Callithrix jacchus: one gene and its partners. The protein of the gene in region 6 interacts with the protein of the main gene of each other region in a pairwise test. Links are inferred from orthologs where the notes say so. Each region holds a gene or a part of one and is shown on either strand. Other genes may lie near its edges. The genes, in order: NCS1, GLYCTK, FAM168A, SEC22A, ARNT2 and DTX2.

What was found.
Region 1: the proteins of DTX2 (region 6) and NCS1 interact in binary tests that used the Homo sapiens proteins (3 or more experiments, as listed by UniProt). The two-hybrid records come from large-scale screens. The link is inferred for Callithrix jacchus from reciprocal best matches to the Homo sapiens genes DTX2 and NCS1.
Region 2: the proteins of DTX2 (region 6) and GLYCTK interact in binary tests that used the Homo sapiens proteins (3 or more experiments, as listed by UniProt). The two-hybrid records come from large-scale screens. The link is inferred for Callithrix jacchus from reciprocal best matches to the Homo sapiens genes DTX2 and GLYCTK.
Region 3: the proteins of DTX2 (region 6) and FAM168A interact in binary tests that used the Homo sapiens proteins (3 or more experiments, as listed by UniProt). The two-hybrid records come from large-scale screens. The link is inferred for Callithrix jacchus from reciprocal best matches to the Homo sapiens genes DTX2 and FAM168A.
Region 4: the proteins of DTX2 (region 6) and SEC22A interact in binary tests that used the Homo sapiens proteins (3 or more experiments, as listed by UniProt). The two-hybrid records come from large-scale screens. The link is inferred for Callithrix jacchus from reciprocal best matches to the Homo sapiens genes DTX2 and SEC22A.
Region 5: the proteins of DTX2 (region 6) and ARNT2 interact in binary tests that used the Homo sapiens proteins (3 or more experiments, as listed by UniProt). The link is inferred for Callithrix jacchus from reciprocal best matches to the Homo sapiens genes DTX2 and ARNT2.

Annotation. Positions count from the first base shown.
Region 1 is NC_133502.1:178,805,456-178,809,946, reverse strand, and holds part of NCS1 (neuronal calcium sensor 1), read right to left. Parts: coding exon 4,466-4,491; intron 2,132-4,465; coding exon 2,043-2,131; intron 1,696-2,042; coding exon 1,618-1,695; intron 1-1,617. UniProt on the Homo sapiens protein: Neuronal calcium sensor, regulator of G protein-coupled receptor phosphorylation in a calcium dependent manner. Directly regulates GRK1 (RHOK), but not GRK2 to GRK5. Can substitute for calmodulin. Stimulates PI4KB kinase activity.
Region 2 is NC_133516.1:34,811,109-34,816,280, forward strand, and holds the start of GLYCTK (glycerate kinase), read left to right. Parts: upstream 1-2,118; 5' UTR 2,119-2,280; intron 2,281-2,879; coding exon of another isoform or gene 2,880-3,031; exon of another isoform or gene 3,032-3,095; intron 3,096-4,591; 5' UTR 4,592-4,724; intron 4,725-5,172.
Region 3 is NC_133511.1:67,374,281-67,379,231, reverse strand, and holds the start of FAM168A (protein FAM168A), read right to left. Parts: upstream 3,269-4,951; 5' UTR 3,071-3,268; intron 141-3,070; 5' UTR 6-140; intron 1-5.
Region 4 is NC_133516.1:79,844,723-79,849,213, forward strand, and holds part of SEC22A (vesicle-trafficking protein SEC22a), read right to left. Parts: intron 3,973-4,491; 5' UTR 3,967-3,972; coding exon 3,929-3,966; exon of another isoform or gene 3,876-3,928; intron 1,909-3,875; coding exon 1,708-1,908; intron 1-1,707. UniProt on the Homo sapiens protein: May be involved in vesicle transport between the ER and the Golgi complex.
Region 5 is NC_133507.1:27,187,600-27,192,737, forward strand, and holds the start of ARNT2 (aryl hydrocarbon receptor nuclear translocator 2), read right to left. Parts: upstream 3,234-5,138; coding exon 3,203-3,233; coding exon of another isoform or gene 2,563-3,202; exon of another isoform or gene 2,505-2,562; intron 1-2,504. Other genes in the region: uncharacterized protein LOC128932337, read left to right, coding at 2,563-3,509, 4,139-4,160. UniProt on the Homo sapiens protein: Transcription factor that plays a role in the development of the hypothalamo-pituitary axis, postnatal brain growth, and visual and renal function. Specifically recognizes the xenobiotic response element (XRE).
Region 6 is NC_133503.1:11,211,937-11,216,864, forward strand, and holds the start of DTX2 (putative E3 ubiquitin-protein ligase DTX2), read left to right. Parts: upstream 1-1,802; 5' UTR 1,803-1,866; coding exon 1,867-1,895; intron 1,896-3,267; exon of another isoform or gene 3,268-3,367; coding exon 3,368-3,531; intron 3,532-4,005; exon of another isoform or gene 4,006-4,118; intron 4,119-4,928. UniProt on the Homo sapiens protein: Regulator of Notch signaling, a signaling pathway involved in cell-cell communications that regulates a broad spectrum of cell-fate determinations.

The DNA of each region.
Region 1 (4,491 bases), on a different chromosome or scaffold from region 6:
CCTGGTTAACAAGAGCAAAACTCCGTCTCAAAAAAAAAAAAGTTATTTTAGTTTAAAAAGAAGTTTGATTTAAAGAAGGATTCCTTTTTTTTTTTTTTGGAGTCCTTGTTTTAGGCTTTTATTTTAGGTTCAAGGATGCACGTGCAGGTTTGTTATATGGGTAAATCCTGTGTTGTGGGGGTTTGCTGCACAGATTATTTCATCACCCAGATGACATAGTACCTGATAATAGGTGGGTTTCAATCCTCACACTCCTCCCACCTTCTACCCTCAAGAGGGCCCCAGTGTCTATGGTACCTTTTCTTTTTTGAGACAGAGTCTTGATCTGTTGCCAGGCGCCAGTTTGGAGTGCAGTGGTGCAATCTCGGCTCACTGCAACCTCTGCCTCTCGGGTTCAAGCAATTCTCGTGCCTTAGCCTCCCAGGTAGCTGGGACTACAGGCGCGTGACACCACACCCAGCTAATTTTTGTATTTTTTTAGTAGAGATGGGGTTTTACCATGTTGGCCGGGATGGTCTCCATCTCTTGACCTTGTGATCCACCCGCCTCGGCCTCCCAAAGTGCTGGGATTACAGGCGTGAGCCACTGCGCCTGGCCCCCTTTTTTATTTTTTTTTATTTTGAGACCCACTCTTGTGGCCCAGGCAGGAGTGCAGTGTGTGATCTTGGCTCACTGCAACCTCCACCTCCTGGGTTCAAGCAATTTTCCTGCCTCAGCCTCCCAAATAGCTGGGATTACAGGCATGTGCCACCATGCCTGGCTAATTTTTTTGTAATCTTTTTTTTTTTTTTTTTTTTTTTTTTTAAGTAAAGACAGAGATTCACCATGTTGGTCAGGCTGGTCTCAAACTCCTGACCTCAGGTAATCCACATGCTTCGGCCTCCCAAAGTGTCAGGATTAGAAGTGTGAGCCACCACGCCCGGCCTATGGTTCCCTTTAAAGAAGGGTTTCTTAACCTTGGGCCTGTGGATAGAAATCAGCAGGACTGTGAACTTGGGGGAAAAAATCAGTCTATCTTTTCACTAACCTCTAACTGAAATGTAGCTTTTCCTTCGATAGGAACCTAGATGATGGTCCCCAACAGGACCTGCAGTCCCCGTGATCTGTCGACAGTGGGGTCACAGGTATTTTCATAGCGTCCCAGTTGCAGATAGGACAGCTCCCAATTTCCCAGTGGGGCTTGTCAGCCCCACCACTACATCTTAGTTAATGCGTTAAGAAGAGCAGCTCACAGAATGCTACATCACAGATTCTTTTTTAAAAATACTCTGACAGCTGTTTTCTAAAATAATCAGCTTCCTTTTTGATCTTCTGAAAGCCGTTATTCTGAGAAGTCCGTAGGCTTCTCCAGAATGCCAAAGGGGTCTGCGGCAAACCAAAAAAATAAAGCCTGAGGACTTTGGTTGATTAGAGAAAGCACACCAGCAAACTGACTTAAGACTCTGGACACTGGATGCGGCTGGCTGCTGACCGTGGATGTGCCACCAGGCCGTGCCGCCTGCCGTGAGCCAGCCCCATACTCGATGGCAGCAAAGGCGGGCCCAGGCTCCAGGGACCCCAATTCCTGCCCCGACCCTTTGCCTCCCCGGTCTGGGACCAGCCCCAGCCCCACCTCACCTTGTCCATCATGGCAAAGATCCGGTCCACTCTCTTTTCTGGAGTGTTCTCCTCCTCTGGGAGCTCCACGGTGTTCCCCTGCAGGGACAGACAAGGCGGGACTGGGGCCTGGCACCCTGGGCTTTGGGCTCTTGGCCACACATTTGCCCCCCAGACCTGGCAGGTTCCAGATGAGAACCACCTCCCTCTTCTTTCCTCTCCCCATCCCTGCCATTCTGCCCTGGAATATCCCACACCCCAGCCCCACTATCTGCCAGCCCCTGCCTGCCAACCTGCCCAGGCAGAGATGTACAGAACAGAACAGCTCAACCAGGGACCCCCGCTCCCACCCTGGGCAGGGGCACCGCTGCACAGGTGCTGTCTCTTTCTCAGTCACTGGCTTTGCCCCTCCTGCCATCCCCACACCATGGGAACCAGCCTCTCACCACCATCTGGTAAATGGCGTCCACAATGTCTAGCATCTCATTCCTGGTTATGTAGCCGTCGTTGTCTAAGTCATAGAGTTTGAAGGCCCCTGTAAGCAACAGCCAGCGCTGAGTGAGCAAGGCTGGGGCGGCTGGGAGGGGTCTTCAGCTCACCCCTCCTCTCTGTACCCCAACATGAAGTTAGAGACCGGATGGCCCATTCTTCATCAGGTCAACAAATATTTACATCAAGATAGGGACAGACACACACACACACACACACACACACACACACACACACACACCCCATTGCAGCTAGGGTTAAAAATAAATAAGGCTGGGTGTGGTGGCTCACACCTGTAATCCCAGCACTTTGGGAGGCTGAAGTGGGTGGATTGCTTGAGCCCAGGAGTTCGAGATCAGCCTGAGCAACATGGCAAAACCCCATCTCTACAAAATACAAAAATTAGCTGGGCGTGGTGGCATGTGCCTATAGTTCCAGCTACTTGCAAGGCTGAGGTGGGAGGATGGCTTGAGCCCAGGAGGTGAAGGTTACAATAAGCCGAGATCGAGCCACTGCACTCCAGCCTGGGTGACAGAGCAAGACCTTCTCTCTCTCACTTTCTCTCTCTCTCTCTCCATATATGTATGTGTGTGTGTGTGTGTGTGTGTGTGTGTGTGTGTGTGTGTGTGTGTATTAATTAATTAAAAATAACAGGACCAGGCACAGTGGCTCACGCCTGTAATCCCAGCACTTTGGGAGGCCGAGATGGGCGGATCACCTGAGGTCAGGAGTTTGAGACCAGCCTGGCCAACATGGTAAAACCCCATCTCTACTAAAAATACAAAAATTAGCCAGGCATGGTGGTGAGCACCTGTAATCCCAGCTACTTGGGAGGCTGAGGCACGAGAATCACTTGAATTCGGGAGGCAGAGGTCGTAGTGAGCAGAGACCGCACCACTGCCCTCCAGCCTGGGAGACAGAGCGAGACTCTGTCTCTAAATGAATAAATAAAATAAAGGGAAGAGGCATTGGGCTTCCAGGGCCGAGGCCTCAGAGGCTGGAGCCGAGTGAGTGGGAAGCCAGGGGCCTGGGGTGTGGCCCAGAGGAGTCTATCCACCACCCTACTCCCTCCCCCACTCCAGCCCCACCTCCTCCCCATGGTCCACTCGGCTCCCACAGTTATGCTGTGGCCCCGACAGTCAACATTAGATAATAAATAGTGCAACACGAGGAGGATCTTTTGCATAAATAAAATTCTCTTTTATTCCTTAAAAAAAAAAAGGCCAGGCACAGTGTGTCACGTCTGTAATCCCAACACTTTGGGAGGCCAAGGCAGGTGGATCACGAGGTCAGGAGTTCGAGACCAGTCTGGCCAACATAGTGAAAACCTGTCTCTATTAAAAATACAAAAATTAGCTGGGTGTGGTGGCAGGTGCCTGTAGTCCCAGCTACTCAGGAGGCTGAGGCAGGAGAATCACTTGAACCCGGGAGGCAGAGGTCATGGTAAGCCAAGATCGTGCCACTGCATCCAGCCTGGGCAACAGAGTGAGACTCCACCTCAATCAATCAATCAATCAATAGAAACTGCAGGGTCTTCTGGCTGCTGGCGGAATGAAGTGTGAAAGTCTTCCCGAGCAGGGAGCTCTGGCCACATGGTTTCCATCTTCCCCACCCTTCACCCTCCCTGCATTCCTGCTAATGCCGCCAGGGGCCTGAACAGCCTCCCTCCTGTCCTCTCAGCCTCCCTCTATGGGCCTCGCACCTGCGGGCCCCCCTGCCTGGAGCCCTTGCACCCCTCCCAGCTCCCCTCACCCCAGCCCAGCGCCTACCAGGCAGGTCCCCTCCTGCTCAGGACTCCCTCTCCCGCTCGCCTACAGTTTCCTGAGGTTTTGGTAAATCCTGCTGCCATGCTAGACTGACAACCGTGAAAGCAGGACCTATCTACCTTATCCCCAGTGGGTCCCTGGTACCAACAGCTGGCTGCGTGCAGTCGTCATCTGGCGAATGAACAAGTAAGTGAAGGAGTGAAAGCCGGAATCAAAGCAGTGGCTATGAAAGAGGTGGGTCCGGCACTGAACTTGTTTCTTGGGTCCCCACTGCCCCTCCCGCTGCCCAGGTCTGCACCTGCCAGAGTGTAGCCAAGGCTCCTGCCAGCCTCTGCCCTCAGCCCTCCACCTCCAGGAAACCCTCTGACCTAGAAGCGCCAATGTCTGTGCTACTCTCTGAACCCGGGACAGCTGGTCTGGCCTAGTTACTTGGCCATGTGAGGGCTACCTGCCCAGGGCCAGGCCTGCCCTCAGTGGACAGACAGAGCTGGGACACCATCTGCGGTCACTGCGGTGGGCGTCTGGTGCCCCTGCCTGGTGAGGGCAGAGGACTGCCTCCCTCTTGCCTGGGCCCGCCAGCTGCTGCCCCATAGGGCCAAAGGAGCTGGACTTACACCGCAGCTTCTCATCCAGGGTCCCC
Region 2 (5,172 bases), on a different chromosome or scaffold from region 6:
GGCTCACGCCTGTAATCCCAGTACTTGGGGAGACAGAGGCAGGCAGATAGCTTGAGCTCAGAAGTTTGAGACCAGCCTGGGTAACATGGCAAAACCACATCTCTACAAAAAATACAAAAAATTAGCCAGGCATGGTTGTTCACGCCTGTGGTCCCAGCTACTTTGGAAACTGAGGTGGGAGGATCACTTGAGCCTAGGAGGTGGAGGTTGCAGTGACCTCCAAGATTGCGCCACTACACTCCAACCTGGGTGGCAGAATGATATCCTGTCGAGACAGAGAGAGAGAGAGAGAGACCCTGTCGAGACAGAGACAGAGAGAGAGAGAGAGAGAGAGAGAGAGAGAGAGAGAGAGAGAGAACACCAGTGAGAGAGTTGGAAGTGGGGGCCGGAGGAGGGGAAAAGTTCATGACAAGAGCACGGCATAGTTTAGAGAACTATGGAGAGATGTAGCAACTGCCAAAGGGAGCAGGTAGGGAGTGTGAAAAGAAAAGGAAATTTCAGGACATGCTAAATTAATAATGTGAAGGAGAAAAGTTAAGCCCTGGAAACTGAGCAGGCATAGCCTTTTCTTTCTTTTCTTCTCTGATGCATGACTGTTGCTTCCTGACCTTTGGGTTGAAATGTTATACATTAACCAGACTCCCTATTCTTCATTCAAACTTAGACTAGATGATGTGGGAGATAGAGACCTTTGTGATTGTTACCTCTTTACAATAGAATGTTAAGCAACATCTTTCAAGTATAATCAATAGTAGCCAGTCAAATCTTGTATTTATGTTAGCCTTTTTTGGAAAATGTTGTAATTTCAGCACCTTATTTTTGCCTATATAAACAATCTTCAGCTTTCCCCACACTGGGGAGCACTAATTGTCTGTTTACCCAAATGGCTGCTCTCACACTTTATGCTTTAATAAATTCTTTTAACTGGATCTCAAACCTTTTGATGATTTTTAGGTTGATGATAGAAATGTGTTTTTGGGCCAAGTGCAGTGGCTCATGCCAGCAATCCCAGTACTTTGGGAGGCTGAGGCAGGTGGGATCATTTGAGGTCAGGAGTTTGAGACCAGCCTGACCAACATGGTGAAACCCTGTCTGTACTAAAAATACAAAAATTAGCTGGGCATGGGCTGGCTGCAGTGGCTCACCCCTGTAATCCCAGCACTTTGGGAAACCGAGGAGGGTGGATCACCTGAGGTCAGTAATTTGAGACTAGCCTGGCCAACATGGCGAAACCCCATCTCTACTAAAAATTAGCCAGACATGGTGGCATGTGCCTGTAATCCCAGCTACTAGGGGGGCTGAGGCAGGAGGATCGCTTGAATCTGGGAGGTGGAGGTTGCAGTGAGCCGAGATCACGCCACTGCACTCCAGCCTGGGCAACAGAGCAAGACTCTGTCTCAAAAAAAAAAAATTAGCTGGGCATGGTGGCAGGCACTTTTAGTCCCAGCTATTCTGGAGCCTGAGGCATAAGAATCACTTGAACTTGGGAGGTGGAGGTTGCAGTGAGAGAGAGAGGAGAGAGAGAGAGAGAGAGGGAGAGAGAGACAGAGAGAGAGAGAGAGAGAGAGAGAGAGAGAGAGACAGAGAGAGAGAAAAGAAAGAAAGAAGTGTGTTTTTGTATTGTTGCTTTTTTTTTTTGAGACAGGGGCCCAGGCTGTGGCACAATCAAGGTTCACTGCAGCCTCTACCTCCCAGGCTCAGGTGATCTTCCCACCTCAGCCTCCCTAGTAGATGGGACTACAGGAGCATGCCACCACACCTGGCTAATTTTTTTTTTTTTCGTAGAGATAAGAGTTTCGCCATGTTGCCAGGCTGGTCTCGGACTCCTAGGTTCAAATGATCCACCCACCTTGGCCTCCCAAGTGTTGGGATTATAGACTTGAAACACTGCACCCTGCCGAGAAACGTTTTAATAAAATTGTTAGAAAATCAAGTGTGTGATTTGTGACGCAACTCTCCCTTCTACCTCCCTAAGAAAACATCAGTAAAAAACAGTGAACTGTTCTGTGGTTTTGGAGCCTGATCAGGACTCGTCTAATGAATATGGGAAGGCATCAAGCCAGCTCAGGGTGGGCCCAGGAAGAGAGCAGGGACAGCGAGGAAGGACCAGAGTCATTCGCGTTTACATGCAGCTTTTATGCTTGAGGATCACGGAACAGAACTCTTGCTAAGCCAGAGCTGTATTTGGTGGCCCATGGTGAGAGAGGGAAGAACACTAGTAAGTTGTGGAATTAAAGCCATGAAGAGAAGCGGGAATGACTTAATTTGGCTCCAGAAGCGGTGAGTCGTGGGGAAGTAGTGACTCTCAGTTCGTTTGCTCAGCCCAGTGCCTGACACCTAACAGCAGCTCAGAGTGCATCTGCTGACTGATCACACAGAATAAAGGAAGGGAGAGGCCGGGCGCGGTGGCTCAAATCTATAATCTCAGCACTTTGGGAGGCTGAGGTGGGTAGATCGCTTGAGTTTTGGCGTTCGAGATCAGCCTGGCCAACAAGGCGAAAGCCCGTCTCTACTAAAATACACAAAAATTAGCCGGTCGTAGGGGCGCAGCCTATTCGGGAGGCTGAGGCATGAGAATCGCTTGAACACAGGAGGCGGAGGTTGCAGTAAGCCGAGACCGCGCCACTGCACTCCAGCCTGGGCGACAGTGTGAGATCCCGTCTAAAAAAACACAAACTGCAATCGGTGAGGCGGGGATCATTATGCCTAATGGAGAGATGAAGACAGTGAGGCCTGAAGGTGACTCCTTCCAGGTCTATTGGTGGCCAGAGAGGAGCCAATACCCTAAATGCTCCTTTCCCAGACACCGGCTTCAGCAAGAGCTCGCACCCGCCAGCCCCACTCCACCCACCCACACTTCCGGCTTCCGCTCCGCGTACCCGCGAGTACTTCCGGCTTCCAGCGCCGGGCGCTGCGGCCCGGAGCTGTTGGGTGGTAAGTCTGCGCCGCGAGGGCTCACAGGGCCTTTAGAATCAATCCCGGGGCTGGGCGACGACAGCTCCCGGTGGCAGCAGGCCCTTCTTTCTCGCATCACCAGGCATTACGGGACAGCCAATTCCCTCGCGAAGGCCCGACCTAGGGATGACGTCATTTCCGTCCCTTGCTGGTTGGGTGAACCGGAAATGGCGCCAGCCCCCTTTCGTGATAGGGTGGAGTCAAAGCCGGTAGTATTGTTATTTCCTTGTTTTGCTCTGGAACCGCCTGGAGTTTTGGAGAGACCATGTCTTCGATGGAATTGTAGAACTTTGCAAATGAAAATGCATAGCGGCCAGTTAATTTGTTTTTTAATTTTGAGACAGTTACCCAGGCTGGAGTGCAGTGGCGCAATCTCGGCTCATTGCAACCTCCCTGCATTCTAGTGCTTCAGCCTCCCGAGCAGTTGGAATTACAGGCTCCCACCACCACACCCGGCTAATTTTTGTGTTTTTAGTAGAGACGGGGTTTCACCGTGTTGGTCAGGCTGGTCTCAAACTCTAAATTTGAGTTAAGATAAACGACGAACAATTGTCATTAAGTCCTAAACATTGTGTGCGACATATTTTTTTTTAAATTACTTGTTGGCTGGGCGCGGTGGTTCACGCCTGTAATCCCAGCACTTTGGGAGGCCGAGGCGTGTGGATCACGAGGTCAGGAGTTCAAGACCAACCTGACCAAGATGGTGAAACCCCATATCTTAAAAAAAAAAAAAAATTTATGTCTTTAAAAATAAAAAAAAAATTGTTTACCGGGAGGCAGAGGTTGCAGTGAGCTGAAATCGCACCATCATGCTCCAGCCTGGTCAACAGAGGGAGACTCCCTCTCAAAAAAAATTGTTTATCTGAAATTCAGATTTAACCAGACGTCCTGTATTTTCTCTGGCAGCCTTAGCATTGAGCGTTCCCTGCCTTGTGCTCATATCCAGTGGCAAGGCTGGGATCTTCCAGGCTCTTGTCCATCTGGGAAATAGATACAAAACTATAAGGACCTTAGTTGCTAGGATGCTTTTTTTTTTGAGACGAAGTTTCGCTGTTGTTACCCAGACTGGAGTGCAATGGCACGATCTCGGCTCACTGCAGCCTCTGCCTTCTGGGTTCAAGCAATTCTGCCTCAGCCTCTCGAGTAGCTGGGACTACAGGTGCACACCACCACGCCCAGCTAATTTTTTGTATTTTTAGTAGAGACAGGGTTTCATCATGTTGACCAGGATGGTCTCGATCTCTTGACCTCATGATCCACCCGCCTTGGCCTCCCAAAGTGCTGGGATTACAGGCTTGAGCCACCGCGCCCGGCCCACTAGGATGCTTTTAGCTCCAAGCCTAATGGGCAAGCCCCATGGGTCCCCCTGGCAAAAACTGTACCCATTTTCAGAATCCCCATGACCATGCCCTCTGTGTTCCCTTTCACAACAGAAGTCCGGCACAGCTGTCTTCTCCTGTGGGAGAGCTGAGAACTAGGCAGGCAGAATGGCCAGAGTCTAGAAGTAACCACCTTCTTTGGGTGTGGGGTAAACTGGTGTTTGAGATCGTCTCTGTTACAGTGGACAGTATCAGAGAACCTGAGGGTGTCAAGGGGAAAGCTTAGTGTTAATCTCACCTCATGTCCCATTTTGCAGATGAGACCCAATGAGAGCAATGGAGGTGTCCCAGCCACTCAGCAAACGTGTAGTAGAGCTGAAACCTCAATTCCCAGCATCCTTACCCTGCTCAATCCTTACTTGCTGATGAAGTCAGCTTGCAGCATTTATGGTAGGCATTTATTAAAGTAGGTGCAATAGTACATCTGTGGTAGAGATGGGCTCTTTGGGTCTTTGTTGTCCCTACACCTCTCTGCAGATTCCTGACCTTCAGTCCAAGGCTTCTTTAGCTTTTACTCTGCCCAGTGGGGAAAATGGCTTTTTGGGCTCAGCTTTGGGAGCTTGGCCTTTGCCTACTTCAGCCCCTGGGCTCTCACCACTGTGGGTGGTGTGGCTTAGGACTTGTTTTTGTTGTCTTGGAACCAGAAGGGGTGTTCATGGCAGAGTTGGGTCTGGCCAGCTATGTGGGTAGAAGGGCATCCTTCTCTGTCCTGCAATTGGGCTCATGGCACATGGCCTCACATGGTGCCTGGGCACTTTCCTAAGGTTCCACCATGAGCCAGACTGTTCCAATTCCTGATTTAAACCTAAATTTCTTGCTAAACTGGTCCTGAATACTG
Region 3 (4,951 bases), on a different chromosome or scaffold from region 6:
TTAACTGTAATCACTCAGCTTTCAAGTAGTAGAACTGAGATTTGAATCCAGGACTCTTGACTCCTAAACTCATGGGCTATTCATTCCACCAAGGCTTCTGTCTACCAATACCTCCATCTGCTCTCTTCTCACCAGGGTATCTGAAGGATCAAATGAGGTAAAGATACAAAAACATTACTACTGCACAGGTGACCACACTGTGGAAAAATAAAATCCATCAGCACATTTCTCCCAGGCAATTACTTTTCATTTTGAGCTTTCAAAAGCTAGAGCTTTAATATAAACATCTCACCTCTAGACCAAGCCTGCAGATCTGCAAAAACAATGTCTAGACCCCAGAGTAAAGTTAGAGAGAAATGCTTGCATTAGATTACAGTCTCATTGAATTACAGGTAACTGCTCAAACCTGATTTTTATTGTAATACAGAAAGCTTCCTTATTATAAAACACTTTCAATTCAAAGGATAAGTCCAACTTTCCACCATTCTGCCCATTTTGGAGCTAAAAAAAAGTATTCTAAATGGATATTTTTGTGTGCTCAATTGTGAAAGCCACGGAAAATGGTTTGTTTGTGAGCTAAACTCTGAAGCTTGAACAAAAACAAAAAGAATTATTTCAATCCCAATGGTGTCGATTTTGTCTTGTTTGCATCCCTCCTCATTTTTTTTCAGTCTGAGCTCTAATCAACAGCCACTTTATGTTTAACATATCATCACAGTTAATGCAATTAGGTCCAGAACTGTTTCTCTAAAGATGTTCCCTCCATTTACACTCCTCTGTACCTTCCATTATCACTATTCTGCCATAAGAATGAGTATATCATTAAGGTTTAAATCGAATTTCTGATGAATAGATGGAGATGCTGTTTCTCTAGTTAATACAATGCACCTACATCAACATCATTCCCTAAAAAAAATAAAAATGACTTAATATGCTTTATTTATTCACATCTGACAGAATTCTGATCACCTGAATTCCTTTGGAAGAAAATTCAATCTTTAGAAATACAATCCAATTATTTTAAATCTTATCAATGCCAAAAACAATCATATGAAAAACTCCATCAGTACCAAACCATCTCACCAATGAATATTTATGACATTTCCATATTTCCTGTCTTCTCTCTGTTTACATAAAGCAGTGGTGCCAAGACTCATCTCAGGATTATTAGCCTGCAATACAATGATGGGCCTAATTGCCTTGCAAACCAGGACACTAACAAATGGCGTCTTCAAGCAATCAAATCAACCCCCTAATTTTAAGAGGGGGTAAAAAAGGCCCAAGCTCTTTTTGCCTATGTGCATGTTGCCTACCTACAAAATAAATTCAGCCTCATATTTTTCAGGCTCACTCATTAGTTCTCAAGCAAGGAATGCACCCTTAACAATCTCAAGCTCACCAAATCTATTTAAAATTCCAGGTATAGTTTTTAAACACACCAGGAGGAGAGGGGAAAGGAGAAGGCAGAGACATCAAACAGAAAGATACCTATTACATTCCAGTTTATCTTCTCCCCACCTTTAGTTTGGAAGTATGCTTTCTTTCCCCCAACTTTCTTTTTATAATCTACAAATAACAGAAGACACCCTCCCCTCCTTAATTCTACCTTAACTAAAGTCCTTTCCAACTTTACCCTTTGGGCTGACTTGACTTCCAAATTATACTAATATAAATAAAACAAACAAAAAGATCAAACGAACAGCTTAAAATGGCCCCTAAGAATGAGGTCTCTTCTGTCTCTGCTGCAAAGTCCCCTCTAACAACAGCCTTACTGCCTCTCCTTCAATCACAGCTACCAAAACTGTCCATTTAAGTATTCCAACCCTTAACCCTCACGGGTCTCCTGGAGGTCATCCCAATCCTTCACATCCAAAATATCCAACCCACTTCCCCCTCCCCACCACAGCTCACTGTCCCTCTCCATCCTCTCTGCCCCATCCATACCAGGTCTCCTACTCCTTAAATTTGCCCTGTGCCACTTCTTCATCAGCAATCACCTCTCCAGGCCTACCAGCTCATCTCTGAAAATCCTTCCAAACTCCCTCTGCCACCTTGGCCAAGGGACATTTTCTTCAAGATACCATCCCCCAACTTTGCTCACCACCTGCCGCTATCCTTTCAATTAATGCAGCCCAGGGATGTTTTATGTGTCCTCTGCCTTGACCCTGCAACCAAGGAGCCACCATGCCCTTTCCACTGATTGAAAGATCCTAAATCCAACCCACTGTGCCCCTCGCTCGATTTCCATCCTGTTCTCCCATTTTGGACCTGACTTCCAATTTGACTCCTTCTTGTCAGCTCACCATCACACTCCCCTCATTGAATGTCCCACCTCCACTAACTCCTATTCCAACCTCGATCAGCCCACCCCAGGAAACCCCCAAATTGCACTTCTCTGCTCTAACGCATGCTATTCCGTAAGTCTCCACAAATTTCACCAGCCCCAGATAACAAACACCCACTTCAAGCTCAAGTCTCAACACCTGCCAAGCCCCTCACCCCCAGCTCCTGTTACCTCCATCACCCTGCTCCAGGTCCACCCCAAATTCCACCCTCCTGAATTAACACTCCTCAGGGTCCTATCCAACCAGATACAGGTCCTATCCTGTATCTGTTACTCACTCTCCACTGAAATCATTCTCCTACCCCTCACCCCAGCTCAGATCCGAAGCTGTCAACTGCTCCAGGCCAACCCCAAATCACCACCCTCATTCAGTCCCCTCCCCCATTAGAAGCCATCCCACCCTAGTCTCATCTTCCACCTCGCCCCAAGACCATCCCGAATTCCAATCCGACGCCCCCACCCCACTCTCCGGTTCCAGGTTGGATTATTCTCCATCAAAAGTCCTCCTCCCTCGTCGCCCGCCCCCCAACCTGCTTGGGTCCCACCCTCACCCCACCCCAGCCAGCGTCTGGACAAGTCTCCCCCGCCAGCCTGCTGTTCCATCGCTACCTCAACCCCCTCCCCCAAACCTGCGCGGAGGCTCGGCAGCCCCCACTCTCATTCTCGCCAGCACAACCGGCCCAGGCTCAGGACGAGCCGACCGGGCGGCGGGGGGAGTCTCCTCACCGGCTAGCAGCTGCAGGCGAAAACGACGGCGGCGGCTGAGGCGACGATGCCCTTGTCTTCTCCGAAGGCTACGGCGGCGACGCTCTCGCTCCCTCGCCCGTGTCCAGCAGGGTGGAGGATGGCACGCGGGGACCGGAGCCTCCTCCTCCTCAGCGACTCGGCTCTGAATCCTCTGCAGTAGCCGCCGAGGAGCCCGACGGGTTGGGGGGAGGGGACGCTCGGCTGCAGGCGAGGGAGGAGGAGGTGGAGGGAGGAGGCGGGGGACCGCTGAGAAGGGCGGGGAAGGAGGAGCCGGCGCGGCGCCGCGACACGTCCCACAGCCTCAGAGCGCCTGGACCACAACTCCCGGCATGCCCTGCTTTGGCCTGCGCGCGGCCTGCGCCTCCCGCCTCGAGCCCGGTACAGAGGGGCCGCGCCCTCTCTGGTCACGGACAATGGAATAAAGCCAACCATCCGCTGGCAGATGTTGTAGACTCAAAGACCACCTGTGAGGAAAGTCGGATCGCCCGAGGCCCCAACCCCAAGGGGCAGTGCTCGCAGTGTCTCCATCTTCTTTGCATAGACACACACACTCCCTCTCTCTCCTCGGTCTCTCGCTCTCTCGGTCTCTCTCCCTCTCTCTCGACTACACCTCCCAGCATGCCTCTCAGCTTCCCACCCTCCTTCCGTACCCTTCTCAGACCCGGTACTACACTTCCCAGGGAGTGTGTTCCCTGTGAAATGCTGGGAGATGAAGTTCTTGGTTCTTCCTCCATATTAAGAAAAAGAAGTGAAAGAAAGGAAAAAGGGAAGGAATATGCCAGCCCACCGATCCAGCCCCTTGATGGGCTAGATCACCTATGATTCTGCTCTTCCTTCGCCATCTCCGTTGCAGCTGTCTCTCACCAGAACTAATGCCGGAGCTTCCTCGCGGGTCTCCCTGCAAATTTGAGGACAATTCGGCAACTTGAATACAAACGTACAAAGGGCATACTTCTTGACCCAGCTTTATTACTTTTAAGAATTTACCTTAAAAAGATAATCGAACAATTTCGAAAAGATTAATGCACAAATTGTTATATGAGGTAGTTAATTATGGGGGGGAGTAAATGTTCATCAATAGGGTGCTGTTTAAATAAAGTGTGACATATACATACAATGCAATACTAAGGAGCCATTTAAAATGATGATATAGGTCTATTTATTGACTTGAAAAGCTATTTACAATTTATTCTTGAGGGAAAAAAATTGATTACAGAACAACTTGTCTAGACGGGTTCAATTTATCTGAGGTTTGACACAATATTCTATAAGCCTGGAGAGATTTCAGGAAAGAGGTTCCCCAAAATATTAGCAATTATTATCTTGAAGGAAAGGGTGTCAGATTGCACGTAATTATTATTACTTCTTTTGAGACGGAGGCTGGAGTGCAATGGCAGGATCTCGGCTCACTGCAACATCTGCCTCCAGGGTTCAAGCGATTCTCCTGCCTCAGCCTCCCTAGCAGCTGGGACTACAGGTGTGCACCACCACGCCCAGCTAATTTTTGTATTTTTGTTGAGATGGGGTTTCACCATGTTGGCCGCGATGTTCTCATCTCTTGACCTCATGATCCGCCCACCTCTGCCTCCCAAAGTGCTGGGATTACAGGCGTGAGCCACTGCCCCGGCTGTAATTTTTATTTTCATATTGTTTCAATTGTTTAAAAGGAACACATAATTTTTTTTTTTTTTTTTTTTTTTGTAGAAGACGTCCTCTTACTATATTGTCCAGGCTGGTCTCAAACTCCTGGCCTCAAGAGACTCTCCTGCCTCAGCTCTCAAAGTGCTGGAATTACAGGCACAAGCCACACTACGCTGGCCAATTTTTTAAGCTATACTCCTTCCGAAAAACATAATTTCC
Region 4 (4,491 bases), on a different chromosome or scaffold from region 6:
AAGTCACTTCCCTTGAACCTGCAGCAGAACTTCCTATAACATATTATATCAAAGTGACATCCTTCAATCTGAACTTTCAGGGCAATCCAGGATCTGGCCCCACACTGATTATCACACGTCTCACAACTATCCCAAAATCACCATCCACTGAACCAGGATAAGCATGTTAATACACCTGCCATGCTAAGTCACTTTCTTTTTCTACCTCTCCTGCCATGCTAAGTCACTTTCTTTCTTTATTCTGCCTCTCCTCTGTACACCTGGAATTGCCCTCCTCCTTGCCTTAGCCAACTCTTATTAATTCTTCAGGAGATGGCTCATGTCTCATCTCAACAATGAATCCCTCTGCTTATTATATCCTATATGGACTGTGTCTTTGATTTCTGTATGCATAATCAGTATCAAACTTCTCAGAAATTAATTGTTCTCTAATTGTTTCAGGTCTAAGCTTCCCAGGGTGGTCTCATCCATTCCCATGGTTTTAATCACAAACTGTAAGCTGAATTCCAAATCTAAATTTATATACTTGTCCTCTTCATTAAGATTCAGACTCATGTATCCAGCTGCTTCCCTAGCAGTGCCCCTGGATATCTAATAGGCAGCTCAGATTTAACATGTCCAAACAGAATTCTTACTTTTTATCAATGAGGCACACTTATCCTCTCCTGTCTTGCTCATTTCAGCTCCAATGTCCATCCAGTTCCTCAGATCAAAAAAATTACAGGTGATTATCATTCTTTTTCCTACACATCCCATTTCAATCCAGTAGGAAGATTTGCTGGTATTAATCCCAAAATACACCCCAATCTATTTATTTTCATTACCACCCTAGCTCATTACACTCATCATCTCCATCTGAACTTCTCTAAGAGTCTTCCACCTGACCTCTCTGCTTCCACTCTTTCTCCTTTAGTGTATCCTTCACAGAGCACCCAGAATGATCTACTCTATGCCAAAATGAAATCATGTAACTCTACAGCTTAAAACTCTCCAATAGCTCCCTACTAGACTAAACAGACTAATAGACTCCAAACTCACTATGGCCTAGAAGGCCCTCCATAACCTGCCCCATTCCTACCTTTCTGACCTCACTTTCAACAATTGTCCATAATGCTTCGGGATCACTGGTTTCCTCTCTCTTGATATGTAACAAAGGGCTTCCCCACTGGCTGATACCTCTGCCTTGCTCTTCATCCACAGCATCCTTCAAATAACTACCTCCTCTCTCATCTTTTGAGTCTCTGATCAAATGTCACCCTCTCAGAGAAGCCTTTGACTACCATAAATAGTCACTCTCTATCCCACTGCCCAGTTTTACTTGATTCATATATGATACAGCGATAAGTGCTATCTCCTCCCACTAGATGCTGCTTCTGCTCTATGGCAGATATCAGGTAAAAATTTTCTATTTACAATTATAGTTTGCCTACTACAATCCTAGGTATGTAAGAATGCGAATATTTAGTGATTAACTTATAAATATCTGTATCTGCACAACTATAAAATTTCCTAGAGCCACATATAAATACAAAGAAACTGCAAAAAGGCTGCTGCTGACATAATGACTATTTAGCGTAAATTCAGAATGATATGATTCTTGGCTTGAACAGGTTTTCCTAATCACTCCTTTCTACCACAACCACTTAAACTTCATTAAAATGACAACCACTGGGCAAGTGAGTCAAATGAAGCAAACTGAAGTCTTACTTAATGTTATAATGTCCAGTTTTCAGCGTACATCTATCAGGAAGTTGAGCAAGTTTCCTCGAGAGCATTTTAAAATACTTTCTGCACTCCTGCATTCCTGTGCTTTGTTCATAATCAGTAGAAGCAGAAAGTGGCAGTCCATCTCTGACACGAAGGACTGAGGCAGATAAAATCATAGACATTTCAACCAACAGAGAAGACCTAAAACAAAATGAACAATTTGGGTTAGATAAAAATTAAAGCCAAACTTGATAAGCATATGCAAAAATGTTCAACTCACTAGTAATATAAGAATACTAATTAAAATGGCCAGGTGCAGTTGCTGATGCCTATAATCCCAGCACTTTGGGAGGCTGAGGTGAGCAGATTACAAGATGAGACATTTGAGACCAGCCTGGCCAACATGGTGAGACCCTATCTCTATTAAAAATACAAAAATTAGCCAGGCATGGTGGCGCACACCTGTAATTCCAGCTACTCAGAGACTGAGGCAGAAGAATTGCCTAAATCCAGGAGGCAGAAGGTTGCAGCGAGCTGGGATTGTGCCACGGCACTCCACCCTGGGCAACAGTGAGACTCTGTCTTGGGGCTGGGGAGTGGGGGGTACACCAACCTGGGTGACAAGAGATCCTGTCTCAAAAAAACAATAAGTAAAATAAAAGTAGACTGCATTCTTTTATGTCTGGCCTCTCTAGGATACTAATAGAAATATTAGGAATAGTCTTTATTAATAGGTTGCAAATTTCATGTAGTCTTCAGTTATTCTTTGACAGAGCGATAAATATATGATCCACATTTTCTAGAATACATACTGAAAAAAGAACACAATTTTAAGTTCCATTTGTTTAACAAGCATTTACTGAATATCTACTGTGTGCCATCACCCCCCAAATTAGAGAAATTCAGATGAAAAGAGGAAACAACACATGTGTGTTGCCCATCACTTCACTCACTTCATTAACTGGAAAACTAAAGTTGGACAAACTTACATTTCAAATTTTTCTTTTTTTGAGACAGGGTCTGACTCTCGCCCAGGCTGGAGTGCAATGGCTTGATCTACACTCACTGCAACCTCTGCCTCCAGGTTCAAGTGATTCTCCTGCCTCATTCCCTCTGGATTACAGGTGCCCGCCGCTACACCTGGCTAATTTTTGTATTTTTAGTAGAGACGGGGTTCAGCTGTGTTGGCCAGGCTGATCTCAAACTTCTGACCTCAAGTGACCTGCCTGCCTCGGCCTCCCAAAGTGCTGGTATTACAAGCGTGAGCCACTTGGCCTCAAATATTCCTAACGCATACTTTAGCTTTTAACTAAAAGCAGAACACAGCAGTTATATTCCCTGTCAAAATTCTTATAAGGTTGTCAGAGGATTGTTTCTACTGATCCATAGTTAGGATTTTTCTTAGGGAAAAAATTAAACCTCTTCCTATGAGTATTTTGATTCAGCATCCAAACCAGTTGAATTTCAGCCTGACAAACTGGGATGAATGTCCAGTGATCAATGTCAGGCCTAACCAATTTGCAGACAGACTCCAATCACCTTAGGCTAAGCTGTCTCTCCAATTCAATGAACTACTTTTTTCCTTTTAACCACGGATTCATAATGTAGTTTGTTGTTGTTTTTAAACTAATCTTATCTGCACTGTGATAGCAGAAAAGAGAATCTGTCCATATCAAGCCCAAGCTAGGTTAGAGTATCTTTAAGGTCTAAGAAGGGTTGTGGTTGGCAAAATCCCAAGGAAGAACCAGTGGAACTGTGGAAAGCAAGAGGTTACAACAATTGCATGGGAAGATTTAGGACTTTTTTTTTTTTTTTTTGAGACGGAGTTTCGCTCTTGTTACCCAGGCTGGAGTGCAATGGCGCGATCTCGGCTCACCGCAATCTCCGCCTCCTGGGTTCAGGCAATTCTCCTGCCTCAGCCTCCCGAGCAGCTGGGATTACAGGCACGCACCACCGTGCCCAGCTAATCTTTTGTAATTTTAGTAGAGACGGGGTTTCACCATGTTGACCAAGATGGTCTCGATCTGTTGACCTCGTGATCCACCCGCCTCGGCCTCCCAAAGTGCTGGGATTACAGGCTTGAGCCACCGCGCCCGGCCAGATTTAGGACTTTTTAGCTTAAAAGGGCCATAGATAAATGTTTATAGCACTGGTCCATTTTTCCTCACCTTTAATACAGAGAAAATATTATACCCGCTTTAGACAGCAGCAGTTAACTCACAGGGAATCTGAATAGTGGCTCTTGTTTCCTCTCGCCATCAGCAACTGTTGAAGGAAAAAGCACAAGTTAGAATCTAGGTAAATCTGGGTAAACCTTTATGTAAAGGCTGAGGAAAATAAATTCCCATAATGCCAAACTACTATAGTAGTGTTAGCAAGTTCTTAGACCTAAGATAACAAGACATCTCTCTTCTTCAGGACCTTGTGTGGGTAATGACAACAGGTTCAATGTCTCAGGAAGGTATCTCTCAAAAGGTAATAAAGCCCAACATATAAGTAGATTTTGTATATATGTTCTAGCCAAATGCTTTCACAAATGCCATTTTTAAGATAAAAACATTCTATACTGGGGGTAAAAGCACTCATTTATTTTAGTTCATAATTTCCCAGTCTTCAGTCATCTAAATGCCACTTTCATAATTATCTTCATCCACCTGTACTATTTACCTAATATTGGTCTTTGAACTGACTTACTTTTCTTGTCCTCTATTTTTTAGCAATAATATCTGAAATCAGTTTTGAGGTGTCAGGTTTTTATGATTAAATGTACTTGTTTCATTCAAG
Region 5 (5,138 bases), on a different chromosome or scaffold from region 6:
ATTCAAACCTTCACTATTTCCTATAAATCAGAAATACTTAAATGGCATTCAAAAAGGTAGCAAAACAAATACACACACACACACACACCGGAAGATTCTATGACACCACTCTCTAATCTAAAGGATTTATGTCATTTCTGGCCAGAGAGAATACAGAAAATCAGCCAATACAACACTTTCATTGATCAATGTAAGGAAATTGGAAATGACCCAGAAGTAGGGGATACCCAGGACCACAGGATATGAGAAATATAGTCAGGACTGTCATAGCAGAAGTCATGAGGTGAATATCTGGGAGCCCAATCCTTCTTTCTGCTCTCCCAGAGTAACTGGTAGAATCCTAACCTAAAACCCAAATGGGACCTTGAAGGAGCAGATTCAAAATTTGGACATGGATTATATCAACATGTCAATGAAGACCCCCAACATCACCTGTCACCAACAAGGCCCTAGAGAATCCCCACTACACATCGCAGAAGAGTGTCATTGCAAACGGTTCTGCTGTTGTGAAGTGGTCAGCTGGGAAAAAAGGAACAGGTGGGAGAGGATGGGGAGGTGACTGGCTGTGGCCTTTGTACCCTGGACACAAACTAGCAGTGGAAATAAATCCTGGTGCTTCCCAGTCCATTTGCTCTGTTTACCAATCTCTTATTCTTTGCAAAGCAACCATATCTGGGGAGAGGAGGGAGGCAGAAAAAGGAATTAAAAGATGTATCACAAGGCTCTTGCCCATGTGAGGTAGGCTGTGGGTGACAAGCTTGGGTGCCCTGGCTTTTTTTGTTGTAAATCGCCCACAGAATCTGAAATCTCTCTCTTTGGCTCAAACCCTGAGCCATCTCCCTTTAAGAGATTAAACCCTTTCTCCTGAAGAAGAAGATAGAGATTCACATGCGGCAAGAATAACACCTCCCCATGGATCATCCTGAGGAGACCAGTAAAAAAAAAATGATAGTCTGTAATAGCAAAGGTCATCACCGCAAGGGAATTTTCACTTGAGAAATTACCACCATGCTCAACATCCCTGGTATCTCTGTCAACAGAGAAAAGCATCTGCCAAGCTGGCCAGGTGTTGACTAACAATGCAAAGAATCCCCCGCGCTTGCAGCATTCGAGTCTCCCGCAGTCCAAGGCACAGGCACAGGCTCTCCTGTGCTCCACACCACTGGACCAGGGGCAGCGACTCCATCTTCAGTCCACATAGATCACAGAGAAATGTAATGGACAAAACAGTTTTAAAGAATCATGTCCTGGCATAGAAATTAGGTAAATCATCAGGGATTTCACTCCTGTTCCGAATGTAAACCTATGTTGCACTAAAAGATCTTCATTTAACTTCTTTTGCTTTCTCTGATTTCATAACATTTAAATCTATCAACTTTCTATTGATTTTGAATTCGTTGAATGGGTTGAAATGGCAGCTTCAGTCGAGGCAAAATGGCACAGATGTGTTTTCAGACCAGCCAGGTTCCCCCTCAGTGTTCTGGACAGAGGCCTCCCTCCTTGTCTGTTCTTCCAAACGCCCCTATTTTTGCTGATGGAACAGCCTTCCTTGGAATCACACAGGCTCTTCACCTTGGCGTCTCCATGGACTCCGCCCTTTGCCTCTCCTTGGCCTCCTCCTTTACTGTTACTCCAGATCTAATGAGTGCCAAACCTGAAACTCCTCCACTTGCCCAGTGTGCATTCCTCCCTCTCTGGTCCGGCCACAGCCACCAAGTCTGGCCTCCCCAAGACCTGCCTCATTTCATGCTGGCCTCCCTGCCTCAAGTCTTGTTCCCTCCTTTCTGTGTTTCCTTGACATGGCTGACAAATCAACCTTCCAGAAAAAAGTGATCATGCAATTCCTTGTTCAATACCATTGAGGACTCTCTCTCTCTCTTTTTCCTACTTTCTATTTTATTTTATGGTTCTTAGGAAGTATGCAGAGAACTCTCCCTTAATGTGGAGAAAATTCACACTCCTCAGTCTGTCCTTCAAAGCCTGGTCACATCCAAACAACTCAATGTTGAATCCCACTGCTGCCTCTTATATCCCCAGTCTACCAACCACTCACTGACCTCTGCACATGCTTAGAACAAGTCCACTGTCATTTATGCGGGCAGTGCCCCTCTGCTCCTGGCTCTGTACCTTCAAACCTTCCCATCTTCAAAGCTCAGGCGAAACGTCCAATCTCCAAAAGCCGTCCCTGGCCACCTTTGATGAAAAGGATCTTTCATTCCTAACTCTATGACAGATGCTTTCCTTTGCGAGGCATTGATGTTCCTCCCCCACCCTCCCCGTCTCCAAAACATGACCTCCCTCTGCTGCGAATTTCCTGGGGGCCACACTCTGTGACTTTCCCTGCATCCTCCACAGGGACCTAGGAACCTGCCATGCCTACAGCAGTCTCTGCACAACACTCAGAAGTTTGTACCCGCTTAGATGTCCACCTTTCTCTTCTCCCACACCCTGCTCATCAGGTAGAGAACTTTCCCAAGGAAAACAGAACTTCCCTGCTACAGTACCAAAACAGGTCCAGGTTGCCACTCCATCACAACTCTGCCATTTTTGAAATCTTTCGGAATGAGCTCAGTTGTCACAGGCTGCACTCTGCGGAAACGTCAGCCCAGAAGGCAGAGGATGTCATTTGGGCAGAACCGGGGCTACTCCACTCTGGTGACCACAGGCTGGGTGTTTTGTGCCCCTAGAGGGTTAGGACGCACAGCAGCCAGTCGCCAAGGACGCAAAGGACCAGCGCTTGGGTGCGGGGCGGGCAGGGCAGAGTCCCGGGAGTTGTACCCTGTTGAATACCGGCTCCAAACTTTTCCCTCCGTCAGCGCGGAGCCCTCCACCAGCCAGGACTGGCTGACGCCGCGATGCCACAAAAGCCGGGACCGGAAGAGAAAAATGCGTGGGATGGGGAAGGCAAAGGTGGTTATTTTCAGAACTTCGGGGGCTCCCGGGCCGGCCCTTGGGGTTCCCGAGCGTGTGAGGTCAGCGTGCTGCCGCCCGCAGGGCCGGACCGGCGCCTGCCCGGGACCGGATGGGCAGGGTCGGGATGCAGACGCCGCTCTGGTGTTGGTGCTGATGCTGCGGCCGCCGCGCGCTGACAGCCGCTCCGCCACCCACCGCGCGGAGCTGCGGCTCGGCGCCCCCGGTCCGCTCCGGCCCCGGGCAGGGCCTGCGGGCTGCGGCGGGCAGCGGGGCCCAGGCCGCTACTCACCCGGAGGGTTGACCGCCGCCGGGGTTGCCATCTTGTTCGGAGAGGATCCGCGCGCGCCGCCAAGGGCGCGGGAGGGGCGGCGCGAGCCGGGCGCGCAGCCCCGGGGACCCGGTCAGGCCCAGGCGCCGCCGCCGCCACACAAAGGACGGCGCGGGCGGGCGGCGCTCCCTCCGCGCTCCCAGCCGCCGCGGCCGCTCGCCGTCCCCGCCTTCCCCGCCTCCGCCTCCCCCTCCTCGGCCTCCTCCTCCCAGTTCAGCCTTTGTCGCGCGGCGGGGGGCGCCCGGCCCGCGGCTCCCCAGTCAGAGAGGTAGCACCGCGAGACTTGGGGCTGCGGGCGGCGGGACCCCTAGGTTGGGCGCCGCCGACTGGCGGGGCAGAGGCTGGGGCGCCCCCTCGGGCCCGCGCAGGGACCGCAGGCGCCCCTCCCGCGCTCGCCCGGCCCGGGCTGCCCCCGCGCGCCCACGCCCCAGGTGTCAGGGCGCGCATCACCGAGGGGCGCCGTGCCCAGGCCAGGGGGCCAGGGCGGAGCGGGTGGGGGAGAAGCCCATTTAGATTCAGAGGGAAGCCGGCCCTGGGAGACGGCCGCGAGGAACAAAGGCGCCCCAGAGCTGCCCACTTAGCATGCCAGAGCCGCGCTGCTCGGCTCCCAGGCCGGGGACGCGACCCGGTGCCGAGCGGAGGGCTCCGGGCCCCGGGAACTCCTAAGGCCACAGGCACCTCCAAGGCCACCGCCGCACGCAGCTTCGGAGTGCACGGTGCACACGCCCAGGCACAGCAGCCGGGCCCTAGAGATTGCGAATGCTTTGGCCTTGAGTAAGGCGCTCAGCTCTACCTTCCTTCTTGCGGTGATTACTGCCCTTGGTTATTACCTGAGGGCGTTGCAAGAGCCTTATTTACACCGCCAAGTTGAGAATTTAAAAACATTTTTAAAAATAGGTTTATCTGCGTATCCTGGTGAAGTTAGGATGCAGAGAACTTGGAGCGGTTGTTTTCTACCAGACACGAGGATCCCTGTGAAAGGTAATGGCCCCTAGGAGGGACACGCCACGATCGTGGTCCCCTGTAAAGGTTAAATGGAAGAATAAATACATCCCCGGTGAACGCTGCTGAGAAGGGCAAGATGGCCCCTAAACGCAGGCATGTTTGCAGAAACATCAGACTGTCTTAAATCCTTCCAAAGAAGCATTTTCTGGAGGGTAGAGAAACAATGTTTGGGGTGTATGTTCAAATAAGCATTCTCCACTTTGGGAGACCAAGGCGGGCAGATCACGAGGTCAAGAGATCGAGACCATCCTGGCCAAATGGTGAAACCCCGTCTCTACTAAAAATACAAAAAAAATGGGGTCTGTCGGGGGGGGGAGGAAATAGGGGAGGGATAGCGGGGGGTAGGGAGTTGGGGAGAGATAGCATGCGGAGAAATGCCAGCATTTTTGATGGGGAGGAAGGCAGCAAATCACATTGCCATGTGTGTACCTATGCAACAATCCTGCATGTTCTTCACATGTACCCCAAAACCTAAAATGCGATTTTAAAAAATACAAAAATTATCTGGGCGTGGTGACACGCGCCTGCAGTCCCAGCTACTCGGGAGGCTGAGGCAGGAGAATGGCTTGAAACCGGGAGGCGGAGGTTGCGGTGAGCCGAGATGGCGCCACTGCACTCCAGCCTGGCTGCTGGCGATGGAGCAAGACTCTGTCTTAAAAAAAAGGGGTGGGGGGTGGCGGGCGCGGTGGCTCACGTCTGTAATCCCAGCACTTTGGGAAGCCGAGGCAGGTGGATCACGAGGTCAAGAGATCGAGACAACATAGTGAAACCCCGTCTCTACTAAAAATACAAAAAATTAACTGGGCATGGGGGCGCGTGCCTGTAATCCCAGCTACTCAGGAGGCTGAGGCAGGAGAATTGCCTGAACCCAGGAGGCGGAGGTTGCGGTGAG
Region 6 (4,928 bases):
AGGCTGGAGTGCAATGGTGCTTCTTGGCTCACTGCAACTCTGCCTCCAGAGTTCAAGTGATTCTCTTGCCTCAGCTTCCGGAGTAGTTGGGATTACAGGCACGAGCCACCACACCCTGCTAATTTTTTTTCAGTATTTCTAATAGAGACGAGGTTTTGAGGGGCTGGGGGGAAAAAAGAGAGAGACAAGGTTTCACCATGTTGGCCAGGCTGGTCTGGAACTCCTGACCTCAGGTGATCTGCCCGCCTTGGCCTCCCAAAGTGCTGGAATTACAGATGTGAGCAACCGCACCCGGCAGAGAAACCATTTTGATCCACCTGTTCAATCCCACACTCCCACTACACAGTAGCAAAAATTAAAAAAAAAGAAAAGACAAAATGTTATTATTATTATTTTAAGATGTATGTCGCTTTTGTTGCCCGGGCTGGAGTGCAATGGCCCGATCTCGGCTCACCACAACCTCTGCCTCCCAGGTTCAAGCGATTCTCCTGCCTCAGCCTCCCGAGTAGCTGGGACTACAGGAATGTGCCACCACACTGGCTAATTTTTCATATTTTTAGTAGAGACGTGGTTTCTCCATGTTGATCAGGCTGGTCTTGAACTCCTGAGCTCAGGTGATCCGCCCACCTCAGCCTCCCAAAGTGCTGGCATTACAAGCATGAGCCACCATGCCCTGCAAAATTTTAAATCCAAAAAGGTTTGGCTGGGTGTGGTAGCTCACGCCCGTAATCCCAGCACTTTGGGAGGCCAACGTGGGCGGATCACCTGAGGTCAGGAGTTTGAGACCAGCCTGGCCAACATGGTCAAACCCTGACTCTAAAAAAAAAAAAGAAGGCCGGGCGCGGTGGCTCAAACCTGTAATCCCAGCACTTTGGGAGGCTGAGGTGGGTGGACCATGAGGTCAAGAGATTGAGACCATCCTGGTCAACATGGTGAAACCCCGTCTCTACTAAAAATACAAAAAATTAGCTGGGCATAGTGGCGCGTGCCTGTAATCCCAGCTACTCGGGAGGCTGAGGCAGGAGAATTGCTTGAACCCAGGAGGCGGAGGTTGTGGTGAGCCGAGATCGCGCCATTGCACTCCAGCCTGGGTAACAAGAGTCAAACTCGGTCTCAAAAAAAAAAAAAAAAAAAGAAAGAAAAGAAAAAAGAAAAAAATTTAAAACGACTGGCCTCAATGGTTCACACTTGCAACCCCAGTGCTTCGGGAGGCTGAAGCAAGGGGATCACTTGAGGCCAGGAATTTGAGATCAGCCTGAGCTACATTGCAAGACTCCCGTCTGTACAACAAATAAAAATAAAATTAAAGTTAATTTGAAAAACAAAAAAGAGAAACAGTAGCACCTGAATTGGCACCATGTATGTACTAGTAAAAACTAGTTAAAATGAAGTCAGTAACTAAAGAATAAGTGAATGAGTGAACAGGCGAAGGAAGAAAACATAGACCAGAGCAGGTGCGCCTTGGGTTGAGCCCCTCCCCTTGCGTCCGGCCCCTTGCCCGCCCCTGGGCCCCTCCGGGACTACATTTCCCGGAAGCCCACGCGCCCCGGGCATGCGCAGCGGCGCGCTCGGAAGCTGCGACGCTGAGTTTCACTCTGGTTGCCTTCTCCTGAGAGTCGGAGCTGCAGCCGGAGACCTTCCGAGGCCGAGCCGAAGCTACAGCCCGAGCGCTGTGGTGCCCTCAGCCCCGTTCTCTCGTCCTCCTCAGCCTAGGTGAGAGGGCGGGCAGGCTACCTGCGCGTCGCTGGGGCGCGGGGTGGCGCGGGGAGTCGGAGCACAGCCGGGACCGGAAGGGGGCGGGCGTGGGTGTGAGGGGAGTAGACGGCCCGGGCGGCGGGGACACCCGGGGGTCCCGGGAGATCAGGGATGTCGGGGCATCGGTCTCCGGTCTCAAGGTCCTGGTGGCGGGAGTTGGGGGGACTTGGGAGGCGCCGGGAGCCTTGGACGGGACAGGGTGCCGGGTGCGAGAGGGGACGTCTGGGTGGAGGCTGAGGGGCTCCCAGGCGGAGGGGCGCGGCCCCCGGGAGTTCGGGTCGCTCGGGAGGAGCGCACCCCTTCCCACAGGACCCGGAGGAGGCGGTGACGAGATTGCCACCGGCTCTGACGAGGGGTGGGTCCTACTGGGGTCTACCTCCAGGTGAAGGGACTTACGGTCTGGGGGTTGTACTTTGGAGGAGATTGCCTTCTAACTGTGCTTCCCTGCTCTCCGGCTGGGGTCTGCCTTCTACTTTCCCAGGACCTCCTGGGTCCCTTTTGCGGGTGCGTAAGGGGTGCCAACGAAGACTTAGAACTCGGTTCCCTTTTCTGGAGTTGCGCTTTCATCGCGACTCTCAGCTAGCCGCCCTCCTCCTCCAAGCCGGCTCCGCTTCTCTAAGCGCCAACCGCGATGGAAATAAATAGCATGTGTACAAACGCCTGGACCCTTGAGAAACTCAGAATATTTCTGCATGCCCTCCTAGCTCCTCTAGCGTTAAAGAAGGCAGACTTTCTGGTAGCCACCATCCGGGCTTACCTAAGCCATCCTGACAGCAAGCCCTCTGGTTCGGTTGCTCTGTGATCTTGGCCAAATATTTACTGTCTCTGGTATGTTGATTTCCTGGATGCTTAGCTGCCAGACTGGCTTATGAAGTTCTTTTAGGGTTTTCTGTGAAAGGCCTCAGGTCAGGCACGGTGGCTCACGCCTGTAATCCCAGCACTTTGGGAGGCCGAGGTGGAAGGATCACTTGAGTCCAGGAGTTTGACACAAGCCTGAGAAATGAAGAAGATTCCTGAGATACTGTCTCTACAAAAAATTGGATGGGCCTGTTGGCACCTGTAGTCCCAGCTGTTTGGGAGGCTGCGGCAGGAGGATTGCTTGGCCCCAGGAGTTGGAGGCTGCAGTGAGCTATGATCATGCCACTGCACTCCAGCATGGGTGACAGAGGGATAACGAAACTTTTTTTTTTTTTTTTTTAAAGAAGGGCTCAGAGCTGGGTGTAGTGGCTTGTGCCTATAATCCCAGGTATTCGGGAGGCTGAGGCAGGAGAGTTGCTTGAACCTGGGAGGTGGAGGCTGCAGAGACCTGAGATCGCCCCACTGCACTCCAGCCTGGGTGACAGAGCAAGACTCCATCTCCAAAAATAAATACATAATAAAAAAATAGAAGGGCTCAGGGTTTTTTTGTTGTTGTTTGCTTTTTGTTGTTTTTCAACCATCTCCTTGATAAGTGGGTGGAGGAGGCCTTCTGCTCCACCCAGGCTACTGGAAAATAAATCTGGTGATTTTCAGTCCCCAGGCACAGCACACGGATCCAACATCTGCACCTTCGTTTTTACTAACCGCTGTTTCTCAATTTAAAACCTGATCATCATCTTCCTTGTTGGCAAAGGTGCCTTGGAAATTGTGTTGCTGAGTCAGCAAGCCTTTCAGATTTGCCCGGTTTTTGTTGTTTGTGGTTTGCATCAAGATGGGAACTCAAACAAGTCATTCCTCCTAAGGAGCTGGTGTCTTCATCCAAAAGGGACGCTTCGTGCCAGCTCTCAGGAGAAAAAGGTGAGAGCCACAGGGACTTGACCTTGCTGCCTTCTCTGTCTGGTGCAGAGAAGGTGGGGATTGGGGAGGGTGGAATTTGAGGTCTACAGGATAAACGGTCACCCTGGGAGTTAATTGTTGATTGCCACCTGTCTCAAATAAATTTCAGTGGCGTCTTGCCAGCTGCTTCTCCTGTTTAACTAGTCTTAGAAGATGCTTTCCACTTTAAGACATGCTCTATGGGATGGAAGACACAAGTCACGATTTCTGCATTTGAACTGGCAGTTTTCATTTCTTTTGTTGCATAAACCTTTACTGGGTGCCAGACAAGATCTCTGTCTTTTGGGAGCTCATTGTTTGGTGGCAAAGACAAACCACAGTCAGTGATATTGTCAGTGTGACATATACTGAGATGGGGGAAATCATAAGGCCCTCCTACCCACATCCAGGAAGGGAAGGGACGGGGGAGGGTCAGGAAGGCTTCTGGAAGGTGGTAGTTGAAGGGGATTGTGAAGGAGGAGTAGGACTTAGAAAGTGGGGCACAGTCGCCTGGGAGAGGAGTCAGCATTTGCAAAGTCATGAAGCCACCGGGACACAGCTGGGCCACTGTAAGTAGCTTAGTATGTGGTAGAGGAGGCTGGAAAAGCAGGTGGAGGGCTGAGGGGGAGGGTTATGTGGGCCGTGCCAAGACTCGGGAGCAGAAGGATTTTAGCAGAATTCCATGAGGGGCATTGTATGTATTTGTCTGAGGTGGGGTCTACTGCTATTGCCCAGGCCGGAGTGCAGTGGAGTGATCATAACCACAGCCTCAAATTCCTGGCTCGGGAGGAGCTGAGTGGCCTACCACCATACCCAACTAATATTTTAACTTTTTCTAGAGACCGTGTCTCTCTGTGTTGTCCAGGCTGGTCTCTAACTCTGTGTCGTCCAGGCTGGCCTCAAGTGATCCTCCCATCTCAGCTTCCTGGAGTGCCTGGATTACAAGCCTGAGCCGCTGTGCTTGGCCTCCTGAGGGACATTTTACAGGAGCACACTGGCACATGTAGAATGGGTTAGACTGGATTGTTCTCTTAGTGAGTCTCTTTACACCATGCCAGCTTCTTGGGGGCGGGGGTGGGGTGGGGCGGGGACGGTGCCAAGAAGGGGGAGGGGGAGAGGCAGGTGAGTGGTTTCGCCCTCAGTTGCTCATAGTCTAATGGAAGAGAGAAAATGAACAGAGAGAACTGAAAAGGACTGAAAAGGAGGTTGATCAGAGTGTGTTTCCTTTCATTCTTTTTGTTGTTGTTTTGTTTGTTTTTTGAGGCAGAGTCTCACTCGGTCACCCAGGCTGGAGTGCAGTGGCGCAATCTCAGCTCACTGCAGCTTCGCCTCCCAGGCTCCAGAGTCTCGTGCCTCAGCTCCCCAAGTAGCTGGGATTA